Styela clava: one gene and its partner. The protein of the gene in region 1 purifies or fractionates together with the protein of each later gene. This does not show direct contact. Links are inferred from orthologs where the notes say so. Each region holds a gene or a part of one and is shown in the gene's direction. Other genes may lie near its edges.

Region 1 (16,047 bases):
CAAACAGTCAAATGGCTTTAGCAGTTTCACTTTTTAGTTTATCGCTTGCTCCACACAATGCTGCAATGTTACCAGTCTCAATTTGACATACCGTGTTCGTGCCTACATCTTGCCACACAATAATTCCACCGCGAAGGCATACCGGTACCGTAGTCCAATGATACGGTACCGTACCGGTACCGTAGTCTACCGTTACCATATTAATTAAAAGTCCAAGTCTTGGTACGGTACCGGTACCGTACTGTCCTTGTAATTACCACCAAAACAATTGCCAGAGTAGCCTAATTTGAACCAGAAGAATGTTAAATCTCTTATTTTCTGTCTACTGCCATTCTCTACACTGCCCATGCCGTCAAGGACTGGATTAGCATTAACAGATTACGGTAATGCTGTAATGGGCCACATACCGGTACCGTACTCACTACGGTACGTACCGGTAGGTGGTACCTATTACCGTATCCTGGCATATGCAGGTACATTTAGGCTACATGCTAAACTTAAGAACCTTAAAATGTTCGTACGGTACCGGTGAGAGGGGTTGGTAGCCTAAAAGTCTCATTGCGCGCAGCGCATTAGGAGCAGCGCATTACGCACAGTGAGGCCGCATTAGGAGCAGCGCATTGAGCACAGTGAAGCCGCATTAGGCGCAGCGCATTGGGCACAATGCGAGATCACATTAGGAGCAGCGCATTGGGCACAGTGAAGCCGCATTAGGCGCAGCGCATTGGGCACAATGCGAGATCGCATTAAAGCAGCGCATTGGACACAATGCGAGGTCGCATTAGGAGCAGCGCATTGTGCACAGTCAGGATTGACAATTCATCCATCCATTTTATCATTGTTTAAGGAATCTATAAGGACAGGCCAGACTCGACTTTTAGATAGTAGCAACAGTGATTCGACTTGACTTGGTACTCGAATTTGATAGAACTAGATTGGTGACACGTTACTGTAATTTAACAGCTTTGCCTTTTGTTGTTACAGTGGAATCATGTATGTCTGAAATTGGTCAGACGAAACAATAGGAAAATATATTTGTCTTATTGTGCCAGATAACTTCGATGAGAATATAATGATTATTAAGACATACCGAAGATTTATAGACGACTGCAAACTATTTTGGACATGAGGATCAGAAAACATTCATATCTGCAGTTATAGCTTGTTTGTCTAAAGGAGTTAGACTATGATCTAACGAAAGCTTACAAATATACCTGTTATTTCGTGAAAAGAGATAATGCCATACTTATTGACATAAATTACTCAATATAAATCCGCTGAATACTTTTCAATCAGCTTTATCATCCAAGTTCCCCACTGTTAATGATGCATTCAAAAGTTTCATTGATTCTTCAACATACCAGGCGCGATTCTCACTGTGCATGTTTACTTGCGGTTGCTTTTTTATCATAAGTATGTTTGTTCAAAGAATTCTTGCTATGATCCAACGAAACGTTGGAAAAACACATCTGACTTAAATTTGCCCCATGATTCTGAATCACATATAATTCAGTTCAGAATAATCATTGAAGATATAGATTGAGTTCAAAATTAATTTAAATCGTGGAAAAAACATTAAAATAGAGAAATATAAAAGCGATAATGCGTTACAAGATTTAACATATTTGTGAACTTCAGAGTATATTTTCAGAAGTGAGGCAGTATTTATTAGATTTTGATTATTCAATGTAAATTATTAAGGAAATGTAACTGGTAAACTGTTCATGGAAGTACCAGTTTATGTCTGAATACTTTTTTAAACTGAATAGGTCAAGCGCAAATCTTATAGAAAATTAAAAACAAACCATTTTCTGATTGCGGCAATGTTTATTTTAAAATCAAATCATTTTATATGTTGTTTTTGTGATTTTCCTGTATTTATCATAATGATATTTATCATCATATTGACGGTATGTAGCATTAAATGCATATTCATGTGTGGGTGATGTACACCGATAAAATATAGCCAGAAACACAAAACATGTGGCTTAAATTGTTCGAGTTGTTTCAATGGGGTAAAAGGCAATCTATAGAACTTTTATTAAACAAAGCCTGGACGACCTGAAGTATGCGCACCAAGATGGCGCACAACCTGAACTCAGGTTGTACACAAGGTTAGGGTTCAGGTTGTGCGACATCTTGGTGCACATACTTCACGAGTACCCAAAGCCTTATACAACTTTGATTGTTTATGCCTAAATGGCTATGAGTAACTATAAAACTTTTTCCAAAATTGCTCTTTTCCAGTTTCCATTTATCAATAAACATTTCCAATCGTTTTTTTTTTAAATATCGTCACGCTAATAACCGAATTGCGTAAGTCATATTTAGCAGTTTTGAGAAAAACATAAAAAACTTCCTAATGATATTGTTATGCCATTGAGAGTCAATAATTTGTCATGGTTCAATTTTTTGATTGTTGCCGGATTTGAGTTAATTTGTATGACGCAGTTAATTAACGCACTGTGACTTAGTCAGAAATGTGTCAATGACTTGGGGACATACGCAATTTTGCAACTTTACTATATGCACCAGTCCTGGAAACTAAACATTCCAAAATCGAATGTAATTCTCAGTATCTACAATGTCTAATCCCCAAAATAGCTAATCAGTTTCAATTACATTATTTTTTATGTTTAAAAATATATATTTTATCAATATAACACGCTTTGCACACCCACCGAAATAAGACTAAGATTAAATATAAAGAATAAAACAGCAATGCACCCAATATAAAAGCCAACCAAGGTGGATTGGACTCGGACAGTAAATATCACAAGTGCACGTCTTCCTATACTGTAGTATGAATTCAAATTAATACGCGCGCCGTATGCCTGACGACGGTGAAAAATGCATAAATGCGTGGCATGCGGAACTTAGTTTCACAGAAAATGTCTAAGAGAACCTCCTGAAGTAAACCACGAAGAAGATTCGAAATGGACTTGCGACGACTGCGAATCCACAGGGATACATTTCGAAGCTTTACGAAACATTTTCATGAAGTCGTCAAAAAATGAGCCAGAGGAAACGGATAAATAAGTTTCGATATATAAAGACTTCTCAATCGTTTTTATCAAATCTAGGGAGAAAAGGTTGGGAATAATAATACACGAAATGGTTCACGCAGCTGGGGTTTTGATGCATGAAGGTGGAAGTGAACATGGACCTAAATTTCAAAAAAGAACCCGCCGTATGGTCAAACAATTAAAATATCATCAGAAGAAACTCCTTCCAGAGCTGAGACATCTGAGCATAAACTTCAAAGATATAAGCAAATAATTAAAATATGTTATGACTATAAGTGATTAGAAAAAAATATTAATAAATGACAGTTCAAATCTCTTTCCTTTATGTTATGTGTGTGGTATAATTAAACATAATATCATTTTCCACTGCTGTTGTTTTTATTTTGCATAAAGATCGAGGTTAAGAACGATATAATTGCATTCAATTCAGGATGGAGGAAAGTTGAAATCATCATGTGAATTAATCGCACATATTTATGGGAACACTCATAACTTTTTTCTAAAATGCATAGCAGATGTATTAGTAACTTCTTATGCAAAGCCTTGTTGAATGGGATGTATGGAATACCCCATAAAATTGGGGCTACATATCACCGGTCCGAGTCCCAGCAAATTCGATTGCCAAGTCAAGTCGAATTCTATTTAAAAGTCGAGTTCGACTTTATAGATTCCATAAATAATGCTAAATCCTGACTGTGCGTAATGCGCTGCTGCTAATACGGCCTCACTGTGCCTAATGCGCTGCTCTTAATGCGACCACGTATTGTGTCCAATGCGCTGCTCCTAATACGTCTTCACTGTGCTCAATGCGCTGCTCTTAATGCGGCATCACTGTGCGCAATGCGCTGCTCCTAATGCCACCACGCATTGTGCCCAATGCGCTGCTCCTAATGCGATCTCGCATTGTGCCCAATGCGCTGCGCCTAATGCGGCTTCACTGTGCCCAATGCGCTGCTCCTAATACGATCTCGCATGTGCCCAATGCGCTGCGCCTATTGCGGCTTCACTGTGCCCAATGCGCTGCTCCTAATGCGGCCTCACTGTGCCCAATGCGCTGCTCCTAATGCGATGCTCGCAACGAGCAAATTACAGTAACGTATCATCAGCCGAGTTCCAGCAAATTCGAGTACCAATTCAAGTCGAATTACTGTTGCTACTTTTTAAAAGTCGTGTCTAGCTTGTCATTATAGATTCCATAAACAATGATAAAATGGATGGATGAATTGTCAATCCTGACTGTGCGCAATGCGCTGCTCCTAATGCCACCACGCATTGTGCCCAATGCGCTGCTCCTAATGCGATATCGCATTGTGCCCAATGCGCTGCGCCTAATGCGGCTTCACTGTGCCCAATGCGCTGCTCCTAATGCGGCCTCACTGTGCGTAATGCGCTGCTCCTAATGCGCTGCGCGCAATGAGACTTTTAGGCTACCACCACTAATGGTACCGGTACCGATGTACGGTACGGTAACACTGACACCATGCCCTTCACTTTCTCAAACGTCGCCATCCCTAATCTGCTCCACAATTCGACCGCATTTTGACATCCCCAATCTGCCACTACGCTTCGACCGCATTTTGCCATCCCTAATCTGCCACCACGCTTCGACCGCATTTTGCCATCCCTAATCTGCCACCATTCGACCGCATTTCGCCATCCCTAATCTGCCACGCTTCGACCGCATTTCGCCATCCCCAATTTGACTTTTCGTCCCTATTTCGCCATCCCTAATCTGCCACTTTTCGACCGTATTTCGCCATCCCTATTCTGCCATCCCCAATATGACTTTTATGCTACCACCACTATAGGACACATTCGCCACCAAAGATACAGCAGTTTTTTCACAGCTTCCGTGGGTAGCTTTTCTTCATTTGATGTTGCAGAAATTTCGTGTTCAGTTGTTAAAATGTCTCAAGAAGGAACTGATCCATCTGTGGCATATAGACAAGGCCTTACTGCAGCCATTGGTGCAGTGTGTGTGGAAAACGGCTGCGAGTTTGTTCGAAAGTCCGCACTGGAGACATTGACAGAAATTGCACAAAGCTGTAAGTGGATTTTTGTATGTCAATGATAGATAGATAGTTAATTCTGAAAACTCCATAATACACAAAAATGAAGAATTCTGGAAAGCGAGCAAAACCTTTAAAAAAGTTTAAAACAGCACATGCACAAAAAAATTACAAAAAAAAAAAACCTGCTATAGAGAGATTTGGGCCAGACATAAACAAACAAAAATACGCTAATGTATTGAACTTCGGGCTGTTATGTAAGTAAATGCCATAAATTAAATGTCTTGAAAGGTTGGAAATATAAAATTCAATCTTTAACAAACTTAGTACACTGATACAGCAATATATAGATATATGTTGTTAATTGAGGTAATGTTCTTCTTTCCCTATTTACCAGTGGTATTGCGATTAACTGAAGATATTTACATCAAATCTAAACCATGATAAATCGATAATATTATCATAACAATGCACGTAATATACATAACAAAATGGAGTTTTGTTGAATACTATGTTTTGATCTTTCTATAATTCCAAGTGCTTTTATTTATTTTGCAAGTGAACCATTTCCAGATTTCATCATATAATTGCAATGCTAACTATATTAGCTTGTTCTTTCTACAGTTTCACATGTTTTGACAATAACCTTTATTATTGAAATTTTTTTTAATCCTGCCTAATCGATAAGCCGTGGTCGTTTTTATATTTTTATGTCAAATAATGTTCAACTTGGCAACTTATTTCTATAGTTCAACATCATTAACGTTTTCAATGGCTAATAAATCTCTCGACTGAACAAGGTTTTTGAACATCTAAGTTAGTTATTTCACAAAGAGTGATATTAATATGGCATGGTGTAGTTAGTTTTATTAGTGAGATAGGTAAAAAGCAATACATGTTGTCAATATTTGAATAATTTTACATTAAGAAGTGAATTTTACATTAAAAAAGAGATTATTCTTGACCTGTCAGACCAATTTCTCCACACATTTGTAGGGATATTGAAACTCAGTGAAATGGAATTAATCATTGCATCTAAATCAGTGTTAATGATTAGTTATTACATCAATAGAATTTGTTCAATTGAAACTGAATATGTATTTTATTCACTGAAGATTTAACAGAGATAGCCAGAAGTACTCGCCAATACTGCGAAATAGGAGGACGAAGTCTTCCAACACTTCTTGATATTCAAACTGCATTGGCTGATGCAGGATTCAAATTCAATACACTGCCTGACTTTATAAGAAATAAGCGAAGAGTTTCCATTGGTGAAGGTCAGTTAGTTATTTTTCAACTTATTCAAAAATGTTCAAACTCTTTTTTCGGTTTCATACAAAAGGTTTATGATTGTGGAGTAGGTGAATTTGAGTGGGAGTGGTGATTCGTCTACGGCCCATTGAAATGGGCCGCGGCCCATCAAGTTGTGTAATGGGATGAAATAATAAAGACTAATAAATATGTAAATCCTACCCACTTCCCGAACTTATAATAGAACTATAATGTGAAAAATCTGAACAAAGTTTTGTCCTAATTTCCTAACCTGGTACACATACTTCAGGTGTATCCTTTTCTGTAGCTTAGTATTTTGCTTTATTTTTGGACACGTAGTGGACATAGCGATCATTTCAATATTATGTTGTTGTTGTTCTCACTGTTGTTCTTTGACACGTTTTGAAGAAATCGCTTTTCTCTTCGAATACTGGACCAATTGCTTTGAAATTTTTAGTGGTTGAAGATAAAATTTTTCTCCAGAAGGCTATTACTTTTTTTTCACTACGACGTCATTAAAATTATTCCCACTAGGTGGCGCTACGTGTCCATATATTTGAGCATAGCTATCTTGTTATGTAAAGGCTTATCGCAAGAAAAAGGTTTGATGGCATCCCGCGATTTTTTTTTGTTCGAATATTGACAATTTTGTAAGAATTGAAAATTTTGGTAGGACAATTGAATTTTTTCTGATGGGCCGCCACGGACCATGTGGCCCAATTAGATGGGCCGTGGCCCCGGCCCATGGGCCTTAAAGGAGTCACCACCCCTGTAGGTGAATTTGGTATGTCTTTGTTATTCATTTGCTTCTGACTTTTTATATTTCAACACTTATATGATTTGTATATTTGAATTTTTCATATGAATATATCTCTCAAAGCAAGGTAACTAATTATGACCCAAAAATGAATAAATTGCTGAAAGAAATATGTAAATTTATTGGAAGAAAGGAAAAATTGTGCAACACAGAATTATGGTTTGGACCAGTCATATTGAAAATTCTTTTTGAAAAAAAAATTACCCAGTTAATTTGTTAATTTAAGTAGCAGAGTGTTCGAATTTCAAAATGTCTTTCTTTCTAAACATCGTTCACATAACATAACAAATTGCTGAAATTTATTTGCTAACCATTGCGGGATTAACGATATAGAAAGTGTACAATTAATCATTCAATTATCGATCACTACATTTTTAGGTTATTGAATAGACTACTTCATCACCTGAATGAAGTATTAAAGTCTGAAGTCTCACAAAGTATTAAAGTCTTATTTATATGTTTATAGTTTCCAAGACAACATCTTCACAAAATCCAAATGTTCTTCTTGTTGGTGAACGAAGAAACTTTCCAACACATATTCCGGAAAATTCTACTTATCCTAAATTTCCAGATCCTCATACTTATGTTAGGACATTGGTAAGAATACTTTTTTGTAATGATATTGCTAAACACCAAGGCGTGTGCACATTTGAGTAGAGAATCAATCTTTGAGATAATCATTGATTTAAACAACCTGCGATTTGCTAATTGAAATTCTCAAACTTTATAGCAAGTACAAGAAGATTATTCAAAATTAGCCCTCAGAAATTTTCCAAATTTTTTTGGATTTAGTTAGCTATTCTTGGCTATCTGGATTACAAATTTTGTTGATAAAAGTTAGATTTTCTGACTATTGTAATTATATCATAATGATATGGATGATATTGGTATTATTGTTCATCTTGTAAACCATAAGTACAGAGCATTTCAAAATACATAATACTGAATATAAAATATATGCTACTATTTTGTGTAGGTTTAAAGATTTATTGGAAGTTACTAATTTATTGTTTGTAGAAGTTGGTGACTCAATATGCCGAAATGTCGTTTTAGTTTTTTGAATTTGTTCTGTGAATGCATGATTAAAGGGTGTTATTGTCATGACATCTAGTTATCTGAATTTTCTGTTTTCTGGTTATAGTTTACCTTTCTGTTTGTATAGACAGGACAAGAACCTGAAAATAATTATGGTCTATTGCGAGAAAGGGGTTCATCACAGAGATGGGATGTTGAAAGAGCTCTTACAAGATTCATTGCAAAGACTGGTTCAAGTCATGCACTACTTCCTGATGACAAATCTGCTTTTCCATGTAATTTTACTCCCTTTAATCACCTCAGTAGATTTTGTTTTCTTAGAAAATCAGTCCTGATTTCCTGAGAATAATCATTAAAATGTGTAATGATGTCATGAACTATGGTTTCTCACCTGGGAGCATTATAAGGATATGTTTTACTTTAACATTTCATTTGGATAGATTAAGCTGTGATCTACTTGCTACATGAAGAACCTTTATGTTTTCAAAGTGACAACAATAATCTCTAATGTCTAATATTATCATCCACCTACAGATTTAAACCAGAGTCCCCATACGTTCCAACCATCGTGAACATAATTATTATTGCATGAATTTTGAATGTGCATCATTAGCTATCATGAAGTGGATGTCTATGTAAATTGGATTAATGGTTTTTCCAGTCGAGAACTCACATGGACAAATAGTTATATACTTTTTCATTGAGTGACATAGCTGTACAACTTTGTTCGCCTTAACTGCTATTTTTTGTATTGAATAGTGATTGCTGCAGTTCCTCCTGCAATTCCGTACTTATCTGCTCTGCTGCCTTGTGAGAATGACTTGGCTGAGAAATTAGAAAAAGAAGCAGCTGCTGAGGTATAAAAACGATTTTAATCAAGTCATAAAAATATTATTTTTAATTTTGACCTATTCGTGGAATTTCAAATTTTGCAGAATAATGCAGGAAAACAAAATGTACGACAAAACAAATCATCTAGCCAGAAAAGGGTAGCTGATGATTCCAAGTCGAATGAGAGGACTCCTGATAATATTGATAATCCGTACCTACGGCCAGCAAAAACACCTAAATTGAAGAAGAGTAGAAGATGATACTACCTATTACTAATGGCAATTTTTCCTAAAGAGGAAGGAGATAAAATTCTGTCAATGAAGTATTGAGCCAAGAGGCTTTTGTGTGTAGACTCCAATTGTTCGATGCTGTTAAACGACAGCAATTCTTAAAACAATCCAAAAACTACAAAATGTTATAAGGATATTTTCTCACTTTATAGAGATATGCTCCATTGGTTTGATATAAAGTTGTGTGCCTGACAAATTATTCAAAATGTTTACGCTTAACCATTGTCGAGTACAAGCCCAAGTCAATTCACAGCAGAGTTGCAAGTCTAGCTAGAGATGGTAGATTTCATATGCAACATTTTAGTGAATAATAAAGCCAACAATGATCCTCACCGCTTCGCCACGTTCTTGTACAGAAAATTTATTAGATCCCAGTATCAGAAACATAAATTTTCAATCCGCATTTGATAGTGTTATAGCTGTACATGAGGTGGTCGGTGCCTGTTATTTGCATTTTTGATACAAGATATTCGTAAAATTTAATAAAGTTTTCATGAATTGCAAAGGTTGTTCTGTGATTATTAGGACAGCAGCTTTCGTTCAAAAGTATTGAGATCGGATTTTCATTCTTTGGGTCAGGGAGTCGTTTTTAAAAAGCTTAGCACGGTGACCGCAAGCCCGTGCTTGGTTTTGCAATCATTCGGGGCGGGAATAGCAAGTGAGTTAGGTAGATGTTCCAAACGGATGGATACAATATGCCGCTGGTAAACACATTCTGTGAGGGATGATTCTTGACATTACGCACAACCATACATATGCTTTATATTTGTACTTTTTAATTTTGGATTTTTTGTCTGTTTATGTAAAATTAAAATTTTAGTTGACTCAAAAATGATATCTTATTTTGAATAGCAATTCTATTAATCCGTTAGAGTCGTAGCAAAAGCTACAGGGCGGGCCGGTATGTGGCAACGGCCTTTTTCGTCCACGGCGTCACGTTTCATCATGCTAGGTGTGTTGGGGGCGTTTGTTCATCGTGTAGCAGTTTCGAATATCCAGTCTTCGTCGCAGTTGGCGTTTTACGGTTTTCTGTCTGCTGTTGTAAGATTGCTTGGTGTTCACTAAGCCGGCACTCGAGTGGGATTATTCGACGATCGGAAAATGGTTGAGGCGGTCCCCGAACATATTAATTTCCCAGCGGAGGAAGAGAAAATTCTAAAGTTTTGGAATGAACATGATTGTTTCCAAAATTCATTGAAACAATCTAAAGGAAAGCCGAGGTAAAACGCTTTTGTATTTTTTGTCACTTTGAAATTAGTACCCTACATGTGTGTGTTGGGTACTCTAGTGTAAATGTTCTATATTAAAGTGTAAGCACAAGTTTTCGTTACCGATAAACTGATATATATGGTAATGCTGTTATGTGACCTGAATTGTGGGATCTAAGGATTACCTTTTTTTTAAACATAAAAATTATACCGCAATTATTGATTACTGTAAATTTAATATTAAAACATTTTTAGTGTGATTTTCAGAACATGTTTTAATATGATTTTTTTAGGACTAGTGAAGTAAAAGCCGTGGCTGCTTAAATAACGCCTAACAAAAATGTGATTCAAAATATACGTCGTAACTACTCCAAATAAGGCCAAACAAAAAAATGAGATTTTATGTGATGTCAAAATTTTAATTTAATTAAAAAAAAGTCTTATGATGCAGGAAGAAATTCTTACCAAACCTACTCAATTTCAACTAGTCAGGTATGTCTCATGCCGTTTAAGATATTGTGGTTGCACAAGAGGGACTCTTATTTATAAAAAAAACGGGATTTGTGTTATATTTCCACATCACATTTTTGTTTGGTGTTAATTAAGCTCATACAGCATTCAAATTCACACCACATTTGTGTTTGGTTTTATTTAAACCGTTACAGCGTTTACTTGGCGAGACCCGATTTTTTTCATTCTAAATAGGAGATACCGTACATTAGAACCTCATCAAAGGTGTTGTTTAACTCTAAAGAACCATAGTATACTATTCAATCAAGTGTAAAACAGCAAAGTTGGTACTCTTTGCCTATTCATCTTTGAATGGTTTCTAGTGACGAAACAATGGTTCAAAAATTGATCATAATGCTTGTCTTTGTAGATATGCTTTCTATGATGGACCTCCATTTGCTACGGGACTTCCTCATTATGGTCATATTCTTGCTGGTACCATAAAGGACATTGTGACGAGATATGCTCACCATAGCGGGTTTCATGTTGATCGAAGATTTGGATGGGATTGTCATGGTCTTCCTGTGGTAGGTTTTATGTAACTTCTACAATCTCAGTTAACATCGACATTCTATTTTACTTGTAATCGCTAACAATAGCATGTTCATTTCTGAACATTATTGGTTTTGCTTTCTTGAATGGTAAATGATGGCACCCCAGTCTGGTTGTGGGGAGTTTTAGGGCTTTCTGTACTTCGATTAATTGTTTGGTATTTTTAAAATTCAAAAAAATTATAAATTTCCAAGAAAAAATATGCTTTTTTGAAAACATTCGGTTTGAATTAAAGTCCTTGGACATGGCTAGTTGTTTTCAATTTTTATTCGAATGTGACTTTTTTGTTCAGGAATACGAGATTGACAAGACTCTCGGTATTAAAGGACCAGAAGATGTTGCAAAAATGGGAATCGCGGAATACAATAAACAATGTCGATCTATTGTCATGAGATATTCTGCTGATTGGGAGGTAATTGGGTTTTTTATTAATAGAATTACAGTATTGTTGAAAATGAAAGTGCTAGCAGCATATTAGATGAATGTAGTGGCAATATCAGTATGTTATTCCAAATTTTTTATCATTATCAGTTTTTCATTTTCAATTTAGAACATCGTGAATCGTTTGGGACGCTGGATTGATTTTAAGAACGATTACAAGACTTTATATCCATGGTTTATGGAAAGTGTTTGGTGGGTTTTCAAACAACTTTACGACAAAGGTTTTGTTTACAAAGGCTTCAAAGTAATGCCATATTCAACGGGTTGTCATACTCCACTATCAAATTTCGAAGCCAGTCAGGTATGTGAATATTTCCTTGTCATTTATAAGTTCATTTTTGTACATTGACATTTTGTGGCTAAATACGTACGTATACGTATTGTATACATATACGTATACAATACGTATATGCAATACAATCACGTTTACGTTGTGATTCACAAATCACTCAATAAAAACCATATACGAAGTATACGAACATGATATTTTATAGTTTGATATTAGTTTTCATGACATTCGTAGTGATTGCACCATTATTGATCATTCTTTCAGAAGTGAAAAATGATTTCATCATTTTATAATTTATCTTGTTAAGCAATGCAATTTTGTTGTAAAATTAGAGCATAAAGTAAATACTTTATATTTTTAGAATGTGTGTCACATATTTACTCTGACAAATGTTTTCATTTAAACCACTACAATACTACAACTACAATAAACGAGTCTGAATGTAGAGATCTCAAATACTGAATTTATTAGGACTACCCTAATTTAAAAGGCTTGGCATCAAGTTTTCCCACCTTGTGCTAAAGTATAGCTGTATCATTAATAAACCTATAGTATTACAAATTTACAATTACTATAATATAGCATAGAATAATATGTTTTAAATTTATATTCTACAGAATTACAAGGACACTATTGATCCAGCTGTCATTATCAATTTTCCTCTTGATGAAGATCCAAAAGTGAAAATGATTGCGTGGACAACAACTCCATGGACTTTGCCGAGCAATCTCGCTCTCTGTGTTCATCCAGATATGGATTACGTTAAGGTATGTTCAGGGTGACCCCCGAAAACCCTGTACCCTGAAGTTTATGTATTGCTTCTATGAAAATTAAGGAAATTTATTCAATACTTCTATTTGTGTATGATTGCACTCAAAAATTTCAGTTAGTTGAAGAGCTTTGCACGAAAGTTATGTTTTCTTTTGAACATGTTCCAAATGACCCAAGTTTTTGTCAATTTTAGGGGTCGTGTTGTATCGCTATCAATTTTGATTTTCTTATTCCAGTCAAAGACTAATATTCTTTATCTTTAGTTTCGGTCAAAACAATGTTTTTACTAGCGAAAGAGGAACATAGTTTCTTCGAAATGAAAATGTCAAACCACCAATCGTCTTGTTCCTCTTTTGCTGATATTCAATGGTTTTGTGGGTTTTTAAACTATTTCAATACCTGTCTACGTGACTAAATAAGTACATAAAGATGCGTCCTCATTTTGAATGATGCAACACTAAAGCATACAAGGAATGTTTTATGGTTAAAATTCCCCTCTACTGAAAATATACTTTCTCAAATTGACCGCAGATAAGAGATTTATCAAGCCCAAATATATTTGAACAGACTTTATCCCAATGTTGTAGAGCATTATTAACTAGATGGAACATGGGACATTGGTATCTATATTTTCTAAATAAATCCAATACTTGAATAGAAAACATGAAACCCTTCATGTCTGATCTTCATTATAAGATTTTTAATTCACTTTAGTGAAGTCTGTTTTCCGACTTCAGCTTTCCACAGGTTATTGTGATTTGTGCCTCAAGGCTGATGTAATGCAATATATCTAATGCAAAAAGGTCGACGGGGCTTGGCACATCATGCTAGACATTAGAAAAACATTTGCCATCGCTCCTCTATTTACCTTGAGTGGGTTCGCCGGTTTGAATCCTGCGGGGATTATTATATGCGAGAGACAACTATATAATATTTCTCTCATCGCAGAGTGGTTGCTCCACCTTTTACCATACCGGAGGAGGATTGGTAACCAATAGCCCATGGTATGCTATCTTGTCAAATGAAAAAATTTTTTTACCAATTTTACTGCATCTAATTTGCTGTTTGTATGGGCATGCTAAGATTAGGGGTAAAATAACCCTATACAAGTTTGGATAGAAATAAGATTTTATCATTTAGCGCATTAGGTGGAAATTACATAATATAGCTTAATCGAGTTCTAGGGCGCAGTCTATTTAACTATCGAGGAAATTTGTTATTTGCCCAAATTTTTCATCAATAATTTATTTGAATTTCTTCAGGTCCGAGATACAAAAACAGAAGAGATTTACATCCTTATGAAAAATCGTCTTATTTCATTGTATAAAGAAGAAACTGAATATGAAATTCTTGATACTTTCAAAGGGAAAACTCTTTTTGGTAAAGGATATCAACCTCTCTTTCCATATTTTGCTCAAGTGAGTTGAAGCTCCGAATATAAGATAATTTTGTACGTTTTTAATGATTGTTTCCTCAGAATATGCATAGCACAAGTCAAGAAGTTACAATTTTCTTACTAACCTTATGTCTTACAGTGTACTCAGTAGTGATAGCAAGTCGGTCTTAGACATTTAACTTAATGAGGCAATCGTAATCATTTTCTGTTATTGGGTTAATGTCATTGAGTTTCATCAGATTTTTTTTACAAATAATTCTTCATAGTCTGAACTTGATTTTCGATTTTTATGTATTACATCTGTATTCTTGTATATTATTATGTACAGATGAAAAGCACAGGAGCATTCCGTATCATGTGTGATACATATGTAACTGATGATAGTGGTACAGGAGTCGTTCATCAAGCTCCTTTCTTTGGAGCGGTAAGTTTACAAGTCATTTTACAATCTTGTCTATGTCTTTTAGAAACACATTCTAGAGAACTTACTTTCTTTCTCGTGCCATCAAAATGTTATCAAATTTTATTATTTTTTGAAGGAATATGACCATTCCGCCGAGGAGATAGATTCGAAAAATTATATTATTTGAATCTATCTCCTTGACGGAATGGTCATCACTGACCAACCATGACACTCTTCACTAATCGTCGACTTGACCTCAGTTCTTCGCCATCATGCTCATATGAATCTTTTTCAGCCTGAGTTTTAAAGAAATTTGAGCCTGATATGATCAAAAAAGCTTCGTTCTTCATTTCATACTTTCTCATTTCCTAAAAGCCGTTATGCTTATTGTCATTCGGTATATTTAAACAATACTGTTGTTCCTATCTTGTAATTGCTATAAACTACTTATCTGAGGAATTCTGACTTTCCTCAGATAAGATGTTACAGAATAAAATTTGTGAAATTCCCAATCACCAAGTATCTATCTGGCTAGATCTGAGTGGTTTGAAATAGTCCAGCTAGAATAGATGCTAACCTCTCTTTTAATGGTGTATTAATTCTCAAATTTACCAACAATTTAGGATGATTATCGCATCTGTACAAGCAATGGAATAGTGGCAAAGGATGGACTTCCAGTTTGTCCTGTGGATGCTAGTGGAAAGTTTACTGATGAAGTGAAGGATTTTGCTGGAGTATATGTGAAGGTTATATGATTTCCTCTTGAATATTGATTCGTTATTGTTGACAAGGTTTACCGAGTGATAGGCCATTTTATTATTGCGCCTTCCATTATAGCAGACGAGGTTGTGAGTCATTGTTTTCATTGAATATCGTTCACTAAGTTACAGAAATTGATACCAAAATTGTATATAAATCATGGAATATCTTATCTAAGATCAAATGTCTTATCTAAGATTAGATAAGGTAATCAGTTTGGCTTGTGATAAAGGTTAAAAAACAAAAATTGAAATATCAATACCAATTCCAGGATGCTGATAAACTTATCTGCCGTCATCTGAAAGGAACAAACAGACTTGTTCACCAAAGCACAACAAAACATAACTATCCTTTCTGTTGGAGATCTGAAACTCCTCTTCTTTACAAAGCTGTACCAAGCTGGTTCATTAGAGTGGAAAATATTACAAAGCAATTATT
Region 2 (15,861 bases), on another chromosome or scaffold:
ACTGCTATCCTGACCGTCCCGCAGTCTTACAAACTGATGCATCACGCAAGAAGGGATTGGGCTATGCTCTACTTCAACAACATGGAGAAAAATGGCGACTCGTACAATGCGGTTCAAGATTTTTAAGCGACGTCGAAACACGGTATGCAATGGTTGAATTAGAATTATTAGCTGATGTCTGGGCCGTTCACAAATGTCGAATTTTACTACTCGGATTACCTCATGTCACATCGATAGTAGACCACCAACCGCTAGTCCCAATTCTTGATCACCAGACGTTGGACATGGTCGAAAATCCTCGCCTCCAGCGTCTCAAGGAAAAACTCTCAATATATGTGTTTTCTACAGTTTGGCGCAAGGGAAAACTGCATGCGATTCCAGATGCGCTTTCGCGTGCCCCAGTTGATGACTCGACGAAAGATGACTTAGAGGCTTAGGAAGATGTGAAAACCTGCGTAAAGAAAATCTGGCAAATTGGTTCACTTGAAGTCGTAGATGAGGGTGATGATTGTGTTTTTTCTGATCCAAATTTAACATGTCTTTGCGAAGTTGCTGAAAAAGATCAGGAGTACCAAAAGTTGATCAGAGTGGTCATCGAAGGGTTCCCGTCGAAATGTGAACAAGCACCGTTTTTTGCACAACCCTTTTGGAAAATACAAAATGATTTGAGTGTGGACGACGGCTTAATATTATATAATGCCAGAATTGTAGTTCCCCGAGGGTCAAGAAAGGAAACTCTACTTCGACTTCATGACGCGCATCAGGGCATTGTTCATATGAAAAGACGTGCAAGACAAATAATTTATTGGCCCGGAATGAGTGTTGATATAGAAAACGTTGTCCAATCGTGTGATAAGTGCCAAGAAATGTCCCCAAGTTTGCCGAAGTAGTCAATGATATCGGATCCTATGCCTGAGCGTATATTTCAGGAGGTTGCCGCTGATCTATTTTCCTAAGCTGGGAAAAGCTATTTGGTTTACACAGATAGGCTCTCCGGATGGCCTATTTCAACATCGTAGGATTTGAAGCCCTTCTTCAGGCATGTAATTCACTCGATCAGGAAACATTTTGCGTCTACGGGTGTACCAGTCCGGATGAGAACAGATGGTGGTCCGCAATTTTCTTCAGGTGACTTCAAAAAATTTCTTCACAGATGGGGCGTCAATCACGTAATGTCAACGCCCACATATCCACAATCTAATGGAGTGGCCGAGGCAGCTGTTAAAGCAATGAAGTCACTCGTAGCTAAAACGACATCTAATGGAAATATACATGATGAGGAGTTTCAGCGAGGACTTTTAGAATGGCGCAACACACCAAGGGTAGACGACCGCTCGCCAGCACAAATTGTGTTTGGACACCCATTACGTTCCTGTGTTCCAGCACATCAAAAGTCTTTGCTAGGAAATGGCAGACACTTGCAGAAGAATGTGACCGGAAGGCCGCAAAGGCGCGGCTGTATAGCAAAAGATATTACGACGAACGTTCCAAACCACTTCCTCCTCTGAAAATTAGTTCCAGCGTTCGAATCCAGGAGCTCACAACAAAAAAAATGAACTAGAGTGGGAACAATTATGGGAATCGGAAGAAATAGAGATTATCTTGTGAAGTTGCAGAGTGGCCGAATATGATGGAGGAATAGGCGTTTCAATAAATTGAACATGACTGAAACACACGAACCATAACAACAACAAATGGGTCAGACTGACTTACCCGTTCCTGATACGCCTAAGAGGAGCGCGAGAGAAAGACGCCGACCGGGAGGATTGCAGGTGCAATAACTAAATCATATGGCGAACCACAGTCTCTCGTACGGTTACCATTTTAAGTTGGGATTAGTTAGCCAGGTATTTGTTTTCAGAAGCATGGACTTGGATGATGGTCGTAACCGATCAGCGGTCGTGTGAAATATCCTCAGTGGGAGTAGAGCTGCAATCCTCTCGCACATAACTATCCCCGCATGAGATTGGAACCTGTGAAATTACCAGGGTGATCAGAGATGCGGTGGCGAGCGTATTCCTAGATGGCGAATTCAATTGAATTCTGGTTTATTTTTTGCATGACCACTGGTGTTAAACTTTAGTTATCTATTCAACCTTTCACACTTAGTAATAGATTACCTGCTAACTAGGGAAACAATACTTTTGAAAACAGTGGAATATAAATGAAGATCCATTTCGTTGTCTATACCAGGGCTTTCCAAACTTTTGAGCTCGCGACCCCTTTTTAATATATTAAAATTTTTCGCGGCCCTTGTTCACGTTAATAATGTTAAACAGTTCGAAATATGCATTTTTGCTATTTTATTGACACAGCTACCGTAGTTCTCAACTTTTAGTAGGCCTGCTCAATAACAAAAACAAGACATATTTACGCAGATAAACGTTACTAAATTATTCAGTGTAATGGGTGCGAATGCTTTTTGCTGCATAGCAAATCCAGCCGGCATGGTTCCTATCCGGAATTGTTACTCACTCTTGTTGATCAAAATCAAAATGTGCGACGCCAAATTATCAGGGAAAAAACTCGCGGCGCACCTACACGAAAAATATGCAGCATCAATATAAAACACAATTTTGTCATCATTAATGTGTACTTTATGTTTTGAGGTTTATAATCATGTAGGCCAAATAAATAAAGGCAAAAGGTTTAACTTTTATTTCTTATGTTCGATATTCTCGGATCAGCAAACGAATAAACTACAGCCTACGAAATTGCAGCATGTAGGGTTTTTATCTCTTCTCTCACGTAACAATAGACATTACGTAACAGAAAGTGAACAACATAGAACGGTAAATTGAATTCGATTTATATACAGATCATTTGCAATGATGGGAAATAATAAAACATTCAGAATAAACAAAATATGTAAAATATTCAATCATGTATTAGTTAATATTTAACACAAATATCCTGATTATCGAGGCGCACTTAGCGAATCGCCCTCGGGAACCGCTAGCTTAACGAATAAAGCCGGCATCGTTATGGAAGCACGCGCAAATCGGGTCTTACGATCAGAATATTCATTGTTATGCCAGCGCGATGATTCAACCGTGTTTCCCCGAAAATAAGATCAAGCCTGAATTTTAAAAATGATTAAAAAAAATATAAGTATTTTATAAGTAAAAGGAAATCGGTATTCACATTTGATATATTAAAAATCGTGTTATTCTCTACATACCCGACAAATAAGCCTTAGTGGTATTTTCGAAAGAAAATTGAAGGCACTGTCTTATTTTTTGGGAAACACGATATGATGATGTATGTATTCACTCATAATCGTGAAATTTTTGTTTTACACCATTTTTAATAATTGTATTTCAAATCAATAGTCTGAAAAAGTACAACAAATATAGTACTTTGTGTGAAATTGGTGTTCTCTTTGCCGCCCCCAAAATTCGTTTCGCGGCCCCTAGTTTGGGAAGCCCTGGTCTATACTATACGTACAGCCAACGGAACAATACGAAATAACCATTTTCAACATCCAAACAAAACGGAAACGTATAATCCGACTTGCAACTGACAGTAGCCAAATGGACGTTTTTTTTTGCCGTCCAGTAAACAAAGTCACGTGACCCGTGCAAGTTCTCTATGGGAAGAATATTCCAGGGGTCAAAGGTCGGGGAAAGGTCCATCAAAAATTGGTTCGTTCCTGAATAGCTGCGATCATACGCTAACATTGTCTGTCGGTACTTTTGAATAGCAGGTGGTTTTATATATTTCAAATAAAGTGATGGTTTTAAACATGTAAATTAGTATACAGTAGAGTCAGCCAATCTGAACACTAGGGTTTGTTTATCCGGATAGCGGTTAACCGGATAACCAAGAGTTTTTTTGCTATCTGATATACGGATATTATTGTAACGGTTAACCGGATAATAGTGAAGTATAAATAATGCATATGCGCATTAGTGATTTTTATATTTTTTTGTTGAGTGGCGACTGACTGCAAGCTTCCGTCGAGCCCCATCGTACTGAACAGTTGAAATTAGGAGCCCAATCCTAACTTTATGGAGGGGGAGCTAATTTCATGCAAGGCAATAGAAAATGAACATTGTGGTGTAACCAATAAGACCAATACCCCGCGTGGATATAGGCATCGTTTTATCAATAGTTTCGGCGTCAGGGAAAGCGGTGTTTTTTATATATAAGTTACGCGGGTGGAAAGGCGAAAAACTGATAAAAAGGAAGAAAGTGATAAAAATAACTGTGATAAAAAGATCCAATCCAAAAAATTATAGTATGCCTCAAAACGTTAGAAGTTCAGGTAATTCGTTTCTCAAACTTCAAACTGGATTGAAGTTCGGATAAAAGTGTATGCCGCATTTTTTATTTTATAGGTATAGGATATGACGCGGCGCCATATTGCAAAGTTCTGCAATGAAGTATTCTTTGTCGCAAATTTATCACCTGTTTAAATGCAAACAAAAGCTTTCTTTTATGTACATCCAATGCTAATCTTCGATTTCTTCGTGAAACGAATTAAATTTCATTAGTACCGCAGATTGTGAGTAGGGGTCACGCAAAATCTTAAGTTCAGAAGTACTTGGTTTGTCATAACATCCCAAGTTATTCCGAAGCCATAAGCAGAAAGCATTTAAAAGCTCTATCATAGATAAGTACTCACACCCAAGCGTACGACATCTGTGACGATATGAGCTTTTAATAAAGTGTACTGGAATCCGAATCTAAGGTGGTAGAGCACCGACAAATCCACTAAACCTATATCTGCGCGAAGCTATACTCACAGCTATTTGTTGAACGTTTATGTCTGAATATCTGCGATGAACTATAGTAAAGTGTGCATCATAATTAGTATGCTAGGTAACATAAAAGTCCCATAATATGCAACTGTTTCAGAAGTCATTTGTTGAACCCCTGGAACAGCTCCACCGAACCACAGGATTCGATCGACCCCAGCTTAAATACCATTGCTGTAGACCAGGGGTCCCCAAACTTTTTTGACCGCGAGCCGGGTATGACTCAAACTGGGTTGAAACGGGCCGGATGAATAATTTTGTCAATGCAATAAAATAAATTTACAAAAGTTGGGAAATCCATTCAATTTATTTAACAATACAGTATAAATTCTACATTTCTGAAGACTTGAATAATAAATTCTATTTATATCGCAGAATATAAATCAAGAACATCCTAGGAAAACAAATATACAAGATTTCTATATCTAGAGTTTAGAACTATCCTGAGTTTAGCTGTTATCAAAACGTTGCTGTCATGAATTAGGAATGTTACAAAATCGGCTATTTCGCGCCAAAATAATGTACGCTTCACGTCTGCTAAGTGCTGTTACGCCGTGTTGGGATACTGCTACTGCTAAAAACGACTACGGACTGCCTGCTGTAGCTTGGAATTCCATGAAATTTTGACATAATTTAGATAAAATAAACAACATATCTGGTATTTGATTTTTTTCATTAGCGCATAAATTTCTCAGCATTCCACGCTTTTAAAAATTCCTTCCCCCTTAATACGTAGTGCAAATTAAACTATCATGCACAACTCCAGCGTTTATTTGCGACGATCTTTCGGCGGTGTCAATGACCGTTGCCAGAATAAAATCCTAAAATAGTCTCAATACTGTATTAGTGATTGACATGTGTTCTTTTTTCATATTTATTACAGTTCTTATCAAAAAAGTAATACAATCCTTGCCTTACAATAATTGCCCTGTCGGGCCGTACTAAAATTCCGATATCTCCGTTATTTCTTGGCCGCTTTTTATAAACTCCAATTAAAGAGTCCAGCTGCACACTAACACAAATGTATTTCTGTAACGTTTCGTCTGACCAGAGTCAGACTTTCTAAAGCGGCTTGTCTGAGGAAGTCTGACTCTTATTACTACTTTTAAAACTACAACTCCTAAGGATGCAAATGATAGTTGACTTATTTGATTCATACTTGAATTTCCGAAACACAACCAAAAACTAACGAATAGCATTCAAAGTCGCAAAAACGAAGTATTGTTTACAACCACGACTGGAAATCTGTCAGGAAGACAGAAGTTATCTGAGCTGATGCGAAAAGGCCTATTATTACGTCACGTTTTTTTGCATCTTGCTGATTAGTCAATGTTACGAAATAAACAAGGAAGACGATGCTCGGGGAAATCTCCCATGGAAAAATATTTAGCCATTTTTGCGTGTTATTGCGGGCCGGATAAAATGGGCCGTAGTTTGGTGACCCCTGCTCTAGAGTCTAGACACAAAGAGAAACTTCCAAAAAATTTAACAATAAAGTAAGGAATAATATAAATCTTTACATATGATTTGAATAAGAGAAAATAATTTACCAGTCGGGGGAAAACGATTACAAAGCTTAAATTTTTATTTATTGACACACGCAACATCAAAATGCATAATCCTTTTTGGTTCGAGCAAAATAATACACATGTACGCATTTACAATAGAACTGTGTGGTGGTTTTCGGTCAATTCACCGCAAAAATCTTGTGAAATGGGTTCTCCACAATTTTCAGTAACTATCCGGTTAACCGGATAATTAAAATACGAAATACCCGGATATATCCGTTATCTGGATATTAAAAATTATAGGTATCCGAACTAACCCTACTGAACACTCCTCTCCACCGGGATAATTATGTAAATCCTATCGTCCTGGGGTCAAAGGTCGGAAACACACGATTGTCACACGCTTGGGCAGATGGGCACAGATCAAATATACCGGTAGTCACTTTGGCACAGATAGATATTATGGGTCTGGTATAGTTTAGTACCACATGCACTTCTAGTTGGCCTGGCTCAACAATTTCTGCATATGCCAATCCCAACCCCCACCTGACACGTCACCGAAAAATTACGTCATTTCGACGTCACATTGGCGTAATAAGGCCCGCCAAAGTATGCGGATGGTCGTCCAAAACGCGCAGATGATCACCCGAAATCGAGCAAGCTATTTCTCTCGTTTTCCCGTCATAACGATCACGATAGGAGAGAGATCGCCGGCGTCAGCGAGTTCGTAATCGGCGGCGCGGATGCCATTTCGGGCGATCGTAATTATACTTTGGCAAGCCCTATGACGTGTTTGTGACGCCGTATTGACGTAATTTTTAGATGGCATAGTCGGGTGGGGGTTAGGAATAACATATGCAAAATTCGTTTTGATACGCCAACTGGAAGTACTTGTGGTACTAAACTATACTAGACCCAAACAAACAATATAACTAATCCCATACCGGTACCGGACTTGGAATGGTAACTGGACGAGAGGCCGTGGTTCACCATATGAATAAGACGTCTTATCGCCTTTCCTCTCCCCCGGGATGAATATGTAAATCCTATCCTATCCTAACCAAAATGTGCTGGGTTACCGTACCAAACAAACACAAGGCAAAAGTATGATACCGTACCTAACATTAACACAAATGAGTTATTTTGGTCCACCAATAACAGAATAACTACCTTCAGACCTTACTGTAATTAATATTTAAATTAGGCAAAGTATCGCACTTCTGAAGCCAAATTTTTGCATTTGAAATTTCTTCAGTTCCTCCATTCTTTAATCAGACCAGTCTTTCAGTGTGCAGTGTATACTTCAACCGTACAAGTTCTTGTGGTCCACCTTACTGCCTTATGCTAGTAGTGGCTGAATAGGAGGATAAGTTTTTCATATTTCAGTAAATGTTTTGAAGACAGTACACTCATCCTGGGATACAGACAGCCCTTTTGCCCATACTATGTCTCTTCAGTAATTACCAGCTATTTTCATAACTGGTATCAGTGTTTATCCAATTTAATTTTAAAGCTTACCTATTTTCTATATATTAATATAGCTGCATTGTGTTGGTTGTATTCAACCAGTTATTTAATTCTTCCTTACTTACATCAAAGAAGAAAAGTTTTCCAAGTTGGGAGATTGCAGTTCAAAAGAAAATATTATTTCAAATATGTCGGTGAGCGACAGTTTTGGACTCTTCTCTTGTCTCTTATATGTGTTTATCATTTTATGAAGTGGGTATTCATAGCATGAACAATTATAGTTTCTAGAGGGGGAATTCCCTGTTTGTGGTTCCAGTGGAAATAAATAGTAATCTGATACCCCAATGTTTATTTCGCTTTATTAAATTATAGTGGTGACATGATGCCTTATGTTTTCAGATTGAAGTTAACCCAAGGATAAGTTACCTGAGTTTATATAGATCCGCTTACAATAAATTATGGTCTTGTAAGGACAAACTCATGAATGTAAAAAATAATGGATCAATTTAAAAAAAATTTTTTATGTTTGTCAAGAGTGACAATGTGGAAAGAAAAGGAACCTTCAAGCTCAAAGCCTTGAGAGAAATTGAGACTAGAGTCCAGAAGATATGGAATGAAGCAAAAGTTTTTGAGGAAAATGCACCTTCACCAGACTCATCTGAAAGAAGGTTTAATACATTGCCAATTCACATCATGCTTAATAAACTTTCATTTTAACATTTGAAATCTGTTTATATTTTCAGGACGCCGAAACATTTTGTGACCTTTCCGTATCCATACATGAATGGACGTTTGCACCTTGGTCACACATTTTCCCTCACTAAATGTGAGTTTGCTGTTGGATTCGAAAGAATGCTGGGGAAGAAATGTCTTTTTCCATTCGGACTACATTGCACAGGAATGCCAATCAAGGTTCATGATTTATTGCACTGTGGTCCTCATAATTCAAAATATACTTCACCACTTTTTTTTTATTAAATTTACCATTTTTTATGAAATTAAATACTTTCAAATTTTGTGTACCTAGATACTTTTTGATATCGTTATTTATGTCAAATTTCATTCGATTTTAATGTTGCTTAGAATTGAATTTCAAGTTATATCATTTGAAAGAAATTATCAATATTTATTTATAGGCTTGTGCAGATAAACTCAAAAGGGAGATGGAAATGTATGGTTATCCACCAAATTTTCCTGAATTTAATCAATCGTGTGAGAAAAGTGAGAAACAAACGGCTGAATCAAGTATGAACTATTTTACTATTTCTAGTATCTATTTCACCATTTATCTGTGTTATGTTTGCGTGTACAAAATAATAGAATTCAAAACTTTTAAAAGTTGCATGTAGTACAAAAATATTTGAACTTTACTAACAGTAATTAAAGACAAGGCTAAAGCCAAGAAAAGCAAAGCAGTAGCCAAGTCTGGCATAATGCAATATCAGTGGCAAATTATGGAATGTCTAGGATTGAAGGATGATGAAATCAAACATTTTTCTGATCCTGAACATTGGCTGAAGTATTTTCCACCTCTTGCTAAAAGTGATTTGCAGAGCATGGGTTTGAAGGTAATAACAATAGTTTTTTTCAGATAAACAATTATGAATTAATAAAGTGATGGCTGTGATTAGGGATAGCCAAATCCAAATAAACTACCAATATTACCAAATGCATTATAAAGTAATATTTTGAAATATGGAATATCTAATTTATTCTAAATTAGGTCATGTTCAAAAAATACCTAAACTAAGGTAAACAAATATTCGATTATTTTTTGTTTGGTATTGTGTTTTGAGTTTCATATCTTGTTCCACATATGTGGTAAAACAAAAATCGCCAAATCTACAGGAAATAATTTGAAATCGAACAATTCTGTTGGAATCTAAACTGACTCTTGCATTATAGACAATAGGCTTAAACTTGTGAGTTGTGAATTGTGATTCTTTTTCACCTTTGTTGAATGAAACGAATTTGTTCGATTTTGATCTTTTCAGATCAGTGTCTAGTATCAAGAGTTACATTATTATACTCTTATTATTTCAATTAAGGTCGACTGGAGAAGAACTTTTATTACAACAGATGCAAATCCATATTATGATTCGTTTGTACGATGGCAGTTTCTGACTATGAAAGATCGTGGAATGATTAAATTTGGTAAAAGATATACCATATTCTCACCTAAGGTATTCAAAACTTCTTTTCATTGTTGTATTATTAGGAAACAGTGTCTATTTATATGGGCTTATCTGTAAATGGAATTCATCTAAGAAAATGAGAGTTTATTGACACAAAAATAATTAATGCCAAAATTACCTTATTGACCTCTATCTGGGCATAGACGTCTTTTCTTTATGAGGTGATTTCATACTTAAGCGTCAAACTAAGTTTTGCACAAGCATACACTAATACCCATGGTGATACAATGTTTTTGACTTTTCCGCTTTAGCATAGACGATCCAATTTTATTTCACCCTTGGTGGGGTGTTACGGTAAGTATGAGTTTGGACCAGAGGTCTTTACTTTATTCTATTACTTAACACATTTTTTTAATGTTGCTATTGAGTATATAAAAAATATAATGGATGATACTTCCCCTTCATGATACTCTGAAGTTGATTGTTTGTGTTTACCAGGACAATCAACCATGCATGGACCATGATCGTCAATCAGGGGAAGGTGTTGGTTGTCAAGAATATACTCTTATCAAAATGAAAGTGCTAGAACCATATCCTGAGAAATTGAAGTAATTTTTCTTACTTGAATTGAGTTGTCTTCGAATCTTTATGAGCCTCAATATTGACCTCATGCCATCACTAACATTGTCAGACGTGATGTTGGTTGATTTCAACATTGATGAGGTTTTTGTTAGAAATCTTTTTGGTATCAACTTGGTAACTTAAGAAAGCTTGTGATAAATGGAGTACAGTACAGAATCACCCCATATTCTAATGGATGATAATCAATATGCTTATAATTAATGCTCCTCCATTCTCTTATTTCAGATTTTTGTCTGGTAAAGATATGTTTCTTGTTGCTGCTACACTTCGTCCCGAAACAATGTTTGGTCAAACTAATTGTTGGATTAGGCCAGATATGCCATATATTGCATATAAGGTGAGAAATTTATATTTATCATATTTAATTACTAAGTCTGATACCTGGTTGTATCAAACAAACCGATTCAATATCCAAACTGTTAGTTGTATTCTAGCAGCCTTTGCCTTTGAAAGTATTTTTGCCGAACAACATAATTAGTTGGATTCTGCAATTTAAAAGTTTTAGAAGGCGTTTTTTTGGCATTATATCAGGCCAATAATTAAAAGTCATAAGAAATATGTTGTATTCTCATTTGGTTCTCTGTGATGGATTTATGTAGATTGTTTGTATTTTTTACTGTTTTTTTTTTCTACTATTGCATCTTTTTTATTAAAGTTTAGTTGCCATTTTATTTTATTTCTGTATTTCTTCGAGGAATAGAAATATAGATCAGGATGTTTCTTCGAGATGGATATAGGTTGCCAATAAATGTTTCCAACATGTGGACCATGAATCGAAGTTGAGACCTCATTTTTGGGTTAGAGAAGTGTTAATCTCCATATCTGTTTTATGAATAGTTGTTCTGGTGTTCTATTTCAGGTGAAAAATGAGGAAATATTTGTGAGTACTCGTCGAGCAGCCAGAAATATGTCGTATCAAGAATTGATGACAGAGGTTGGAACAGTTGAAGTTGTTGCTCAACTCATCGGACAAGACATTATGGGAATGGCATTGCATGCTCCTTTAACATCATATGAGGTTAAATTTCCAATATTTCTGTACAATAAATTACGCTATGTAATGATTGTGAAGCACTGCTTGAGGTATGACAGCCGACACTGAATCTAAAATTGTTTAAATATTTTAGAATATTGTGCCTTATGACAACTTGCCCTACATTTATGAAATTTGAAAATCTATAATCTTAATAACAAGTTTTTATCAAATATAAAGGCAATAGTAAATTGCCTTATATCCTTCTAAATGTGGACAATCTGTTTCCAGGTGATTTACACTCTTCCTATGTTTACAATAAGAGAAGACAAAGGTACAGGTGTGGTGACAAGTGTTCCTTCTGATGCTCCTGATGATTTTGCAGCTCTGAGAGATTTGAAGAATAAAGCACCACTGAGAGAGAAATATGGAATTACAGATGAAATGGTGATGCCTTTTGAACCTGTGAGTATCAAAGTTTCATTTGGAAGTTGTGCATTTATGCAGAGCTGAACTGAAAGTAATTTTAGGACCACACAAGAGGCGCACCTCATAGAATTACTCTGCGATTTTCTGATATGGATATAGTAAAAACATATAGTTTTCAATGTCATTATTCTTGAGAAGCGTACTGATCTCAAGTTAATTCAATGACATTTAACATTCACATATTCTTGCTGGATTATTGGTTTTTATCAGGTTTGGCATAATTTTCCATCCACACTAATGGCTGCTGATATTTGGAGAAGGACTGTTTAGGCAATACTGGTGACGTTCCTTTTCAAATATGTCCTTTCAATAATACCTACGGTAACTGATTTTGAACTTTTCAGATTCCTATCATAGACATACCTGGATTCAGTAATCTTTCTGCTGTTCAAGTCTGTGAGCAGTTAAAGATTTTGAGTCAAAACGACAGAGACAAATTGGCTGAAGCAAAAGATATGGTTTATTTAAAAGGATTTTATGATGGAGTCATGCTGGTACGGTTGTGTGTTAGATTTAAAGTTGTGGGACATTTCAATTGAAAGATATAGAGAATTATATATATTTCCAATCCTGTTTGATTTTGAATGTCATTTTCGAAATTGTGTAAAAATGGAGAAATCACTATATTAACTATATCTTGAGATAGAGTTGTGAAAATCCATTCAATCAATTATAACTTATATATATTAAAAATTTTATATAATAATTTTTCTGGCATCTGATAATCAGGTTGAAATATTGTATATTTAATGAATTTCAGTCTAATGTAAAACTAGTACTAGATGACTGGTTGTAGTGTTTTGACTATGTTCTTAAAATAATTTTTTTCATTACATTCCTAAAGGTTGAAGGATATGAAGGACAGAAAGTTCAAAACGTAAAGAAACCTATACAACAAGCAATGGTTAAATCTGGTGAAGCACTTTTGTATATGGAACCAGAAAAAAAAGTGATGTCGAGATCTGCTGACGAATGTGTTGTTGCTTTGTGTGATCAATGGTAATTTAAAATTTAGATAAGTGCTTTAGTTAAGCCTCCATTAATTTGTCGTATAATATGCAATGAAACTACCTACCGTAGTTATTCCCATATATGACCTGGACTAGTATCTGAGCGAAAGGCTGTGGTGTTTTCACTGTGGGATAATTACCATAAATCCCATCTTGAATGGTCATTTCTTCTATGATCAACATGGTTAATATCCATAAAATGGCCTATTATACGTAAGGTGATCAGCACATTCCATAAAACTTGACTTTGCGTACACATATTAACTTGCCTGATTGAGTTTCTTTATTCAGGTATCTTGATTACGGAGAGAAAAACTGGAAATCATTAACTAAATCATCGTTGGAAAAGTTGAACACTTATTGTGATGAAACGAGAAAAAATTTCGATGCGACTATGGATTGGTTGAAAGAGCATGCTTGTTCTAGAACCTATGGATTAGGTATGTATGTGGATGCTTTTCAAAGCTGTATACTATTCAATTCAAAATTTACTGAAATGCGAAATACCAAATATGTCATTTAAAGACTCTAAAAAGACTATAAAAAATGAAAACAGGTATTTAATTTTTATAATACAAATCACCATGCATTGGGAAATCTACCTCCATCGACATCAATTTAGGGCTGGAAAGAGTTTCATGGTATTCACCCTGTGTACACAAATGATATTAATGCTGTGAATGTCTGATATTGTCAGTCATACTTCTCAGTTAACATGATTTTTAAATCGTTATTTGATTGTTTGTGTGTCATATGGCACAGGTTAGGAACCGTTTGATTAGTTGATACTTCAAAATCAAATATATATTCAACTTTTTCTAGGTACTCGTCTTCCATGGGATGAGCAATGGTTAATTGAATCTTTGTCTGATTCAACAATATACATGTCTTATTATACAGTAGCTCATCTACTACAAGGAGGGGTTTTTGATGGATCTGGGAAAAGTCCTGCAAATATTAGGTTTCTAATTATTTTTTGCTTATCTTTCAGCCAATTTACTTGGTATTTCATTCATTCAATATTTGATAAAATGATTTTCAAACATATTTTCCATTCAAATTTACTCTGGGATCTCATGTATAAGATCAGATTCCATGTAAATGGTAAATTATTTTGTTATCCTCCATCTTTGAGTTCCTTGTATTTGAAGGGAATTGTGTTTATCACCTTTTTATTTCCAGTCCAGAACAGATGACTAGGGAAGTTTGGGATTATATTTTTTACAAATCAACTCCATTTCCAAAAACAAAAATACCCAAAGACACTTTGGATAAATTGCGCAGTGAATTTCAATACTGGTATCCTGTTGATTTGCGAACATCAGGTTAGCACTTTTTATTTACTTCAATTAATATCAAGATATCTTCTTTGGCTGCTAATCTGAGACAGCTTTAGAAAACATTCGGTAAGTAAGTAAGTGAAATCTGGCCTTTTTCTATCTCCATCTTAGTGGTCGCAATAGAATAAAATGCATGCAGCGCAATTGAAGAAATATTTTTAACCTAAGAAAAATTTTGAACATATGACTCATCATATTTTAATTTAGGCAAAGATCTTGTGCCGAATCATCTTACATACTTCTTGTATAATCATTGTGCCATATGGCCAAAGGAACCAAATTTATGGCCAAGATCTGTTCGAGCAAATGGTCATCTGATGTTAAATTCTGAAAAGGTACATTTTTTTCTAATCTTTGCTCAATGTTTAACCTCCAAATTTACACCGTGTATTTTAAAATGTTGTTTTTATAAAAATGAGGCAGATTCTCACATTCACTTTGTATTATTGGAGTGCAAGTATCATATCAAAAGCTGAAACCAGTATTACTTGAAATCTACCATTCTGTTAATTTCATTCAATCTTGCTGTTTGGTGTTTTAGTACATATGTTAATAGCTATCGCTATTACTTTACCAATAGATCTTTTTATTATGAAGTTGATGCAAATCATCACACTCAAAACGCTACTTAAAATACACTTGGGTTTAAAGTGTCCTTTGTTTAAAAATATATTGTGTTGGTTTCAAACATCACTTTACATGGTTTGAGTATTTGGATATCCACATATCTCTCTGCCGTAGATAGTTCGAATTTGTCTGTTTTGACCGCTACATGGCCCTTGTTCGGCCAGGTATCATCATCATTTTGCTTATTTCATTTGATTTTTGACTTCAGATGTCCAAGTCGACTGGAAATTTCTTGACTTTGTATCAAGCTGTTGAAAAATATTCTGCTGATGGTATGTTGTAGTTAAATTAATTCTTAAGTATGTATTTAATACCCTAAGTATAATAATAAAGTTGAGGTAGTACCGGTGATTGTGTTTAGCAAACTAGCATATTTTATATGAGATTGTGTTGTGGTATATGTTTTTTAAAGTTTTCAAGATTGAAGATTTTATGGCTTCTCAAGTCTTACAAATCAATTCTTAAGATAATAAAATTAAGAAACGCCTTCACTTTTGTTGATTATTATTTTTGGAGGCCTATGATTTTTGTTCTTGATTTTTTTAATATTCCTAGTACCTGGGTGCGCTCGAAGGCAAAACTCAATAAAAGAACAGTTAGAAAAAAAAAATATTATATGTATTGATGTGATGTAATAATGTTCATTATGTTCTTGGATTTGATATTGACCCAAATTCTTATCAAGACAAATGGTTTTGATTCCTCATATTGAAATAAATAAATTATTTAAAAAGATTGAGTATTTTTTGTTTCCTCGTATAAAAATAGTTGTTATTAAATTAGCTAGATTCAGACATGACCGAATGTAAAATTACAATTTAGTAGCTGTGTACGGAGAGAGACAGGGAGTATACAATAAATTTTTCCAGTGTTATTGAATGTTTTGATCTAATACTAGCCTCTCAATTTG

What was found.
Region 2: the proteins of isoleucine--tRNA ligase, cytoplasmic-like (region 1) and leucine--tRNA ligase, cytoplasmic-like purify together in Homo sapiens (affinity purification with mass spectrometry; 7 studies listed by BioGRID and IntAct, counting the BioPlex papers as one, with this or other methods). This does not show direct contact. The link is inferred for Styela clava from reciprocal best matches to the Homo sapiens genes IARS1 and LARS1.

Annotation. Positions count from the first base shown.
Region 1 is NC_135258.1:11,728,122-11,744,168, reverse strand, and holds the start of isoleucine--tRNA ligase, cytoplasmic-like, read left to right. Parts: upstream 1-10,193; 5' UTR 10,194-10,381; coding exon 10,382-10,500; intron 10,501-11,368; coding exon 11,369-11,525; intron 11,526-11,842; coding exon 11,843-11,962; intron 11,963-12,100; coding exon 12,101-12,292; intron 12,293-12,897; coding exon 12,898-13,047; intron 13,048-14,313; coding exon 14,314-14,469; intron 14,470-14,775; coding exon 14,776-14,871; intron 14,872-15,473; coding exon 15,474-15,596; intron 15,597-15,880; coding exon 15,881-16,047. Other genes in the region: transcription initiation factor TFIID subunit 8-like, read left to right, coding at 4,933-5,071, 6,151-6,312, 7,591-7,721, 8,287-8,434, 8,919-9,016, 9,095-9,250. UniProt on the Homo sapiens protein: Catalyzes the specific attachment of an amino acid to its cognate tRNA in a 2 step reaction: the amino acid (AA) is first activated by ATP to form AA-AMP and then transferred to the acceptor end of the tRNA.
Region 2 is NC_135263.1:8,314,782-8,330,642, reverse strand, and holds the start of leucine--tRNA ligase, cytoplasmic-like, read left to right. Parts: upstream 1-7,770; 5' UTR 7,771-7,923; coding exon 7,924-7,929; intron 7,930-8,269; coding exon 8,270-8,403; intron 8,404-8,478; coding exon 8,479-8,647; intron 8,648-8,871; coding exon 8,872-8,980; intron 8,981-9,112; coding exon 9,113-9,303; intron 9,304-9,783; coding exon 9,784-9,918; intron 9,919-10,368; coding exon 10,369-10,478; intron 10,479-10,737; coding exon 10,738-10,849; intron 10,850-11,371; coding exon 11,372-11,530; intron 11,531-11,776; coding exon 11,777-11,950; intron 11,951-12,318; coding exon 12,319-12,468; intron 12,469-12,818; coding exon 12,819-12,973; intron 12,974-13,275; coding exon 13,276-13,424; intron 13,425-13,806; coding exon 13,807-13,945; intron 13,946-14,166; coding exon 14,167-14,309; intron 14,310-14,531; coding exon 14,532-14,659; intron 14,660-15,159; coding exon 15,160-15,223; intron 15,224-15,861. UniProt on the Homo sapiens protein: Aminoacyl-tRNA synthetase that catalyzes the specific attachment of leucine to its cognate tRNA (tRNA(Leu)).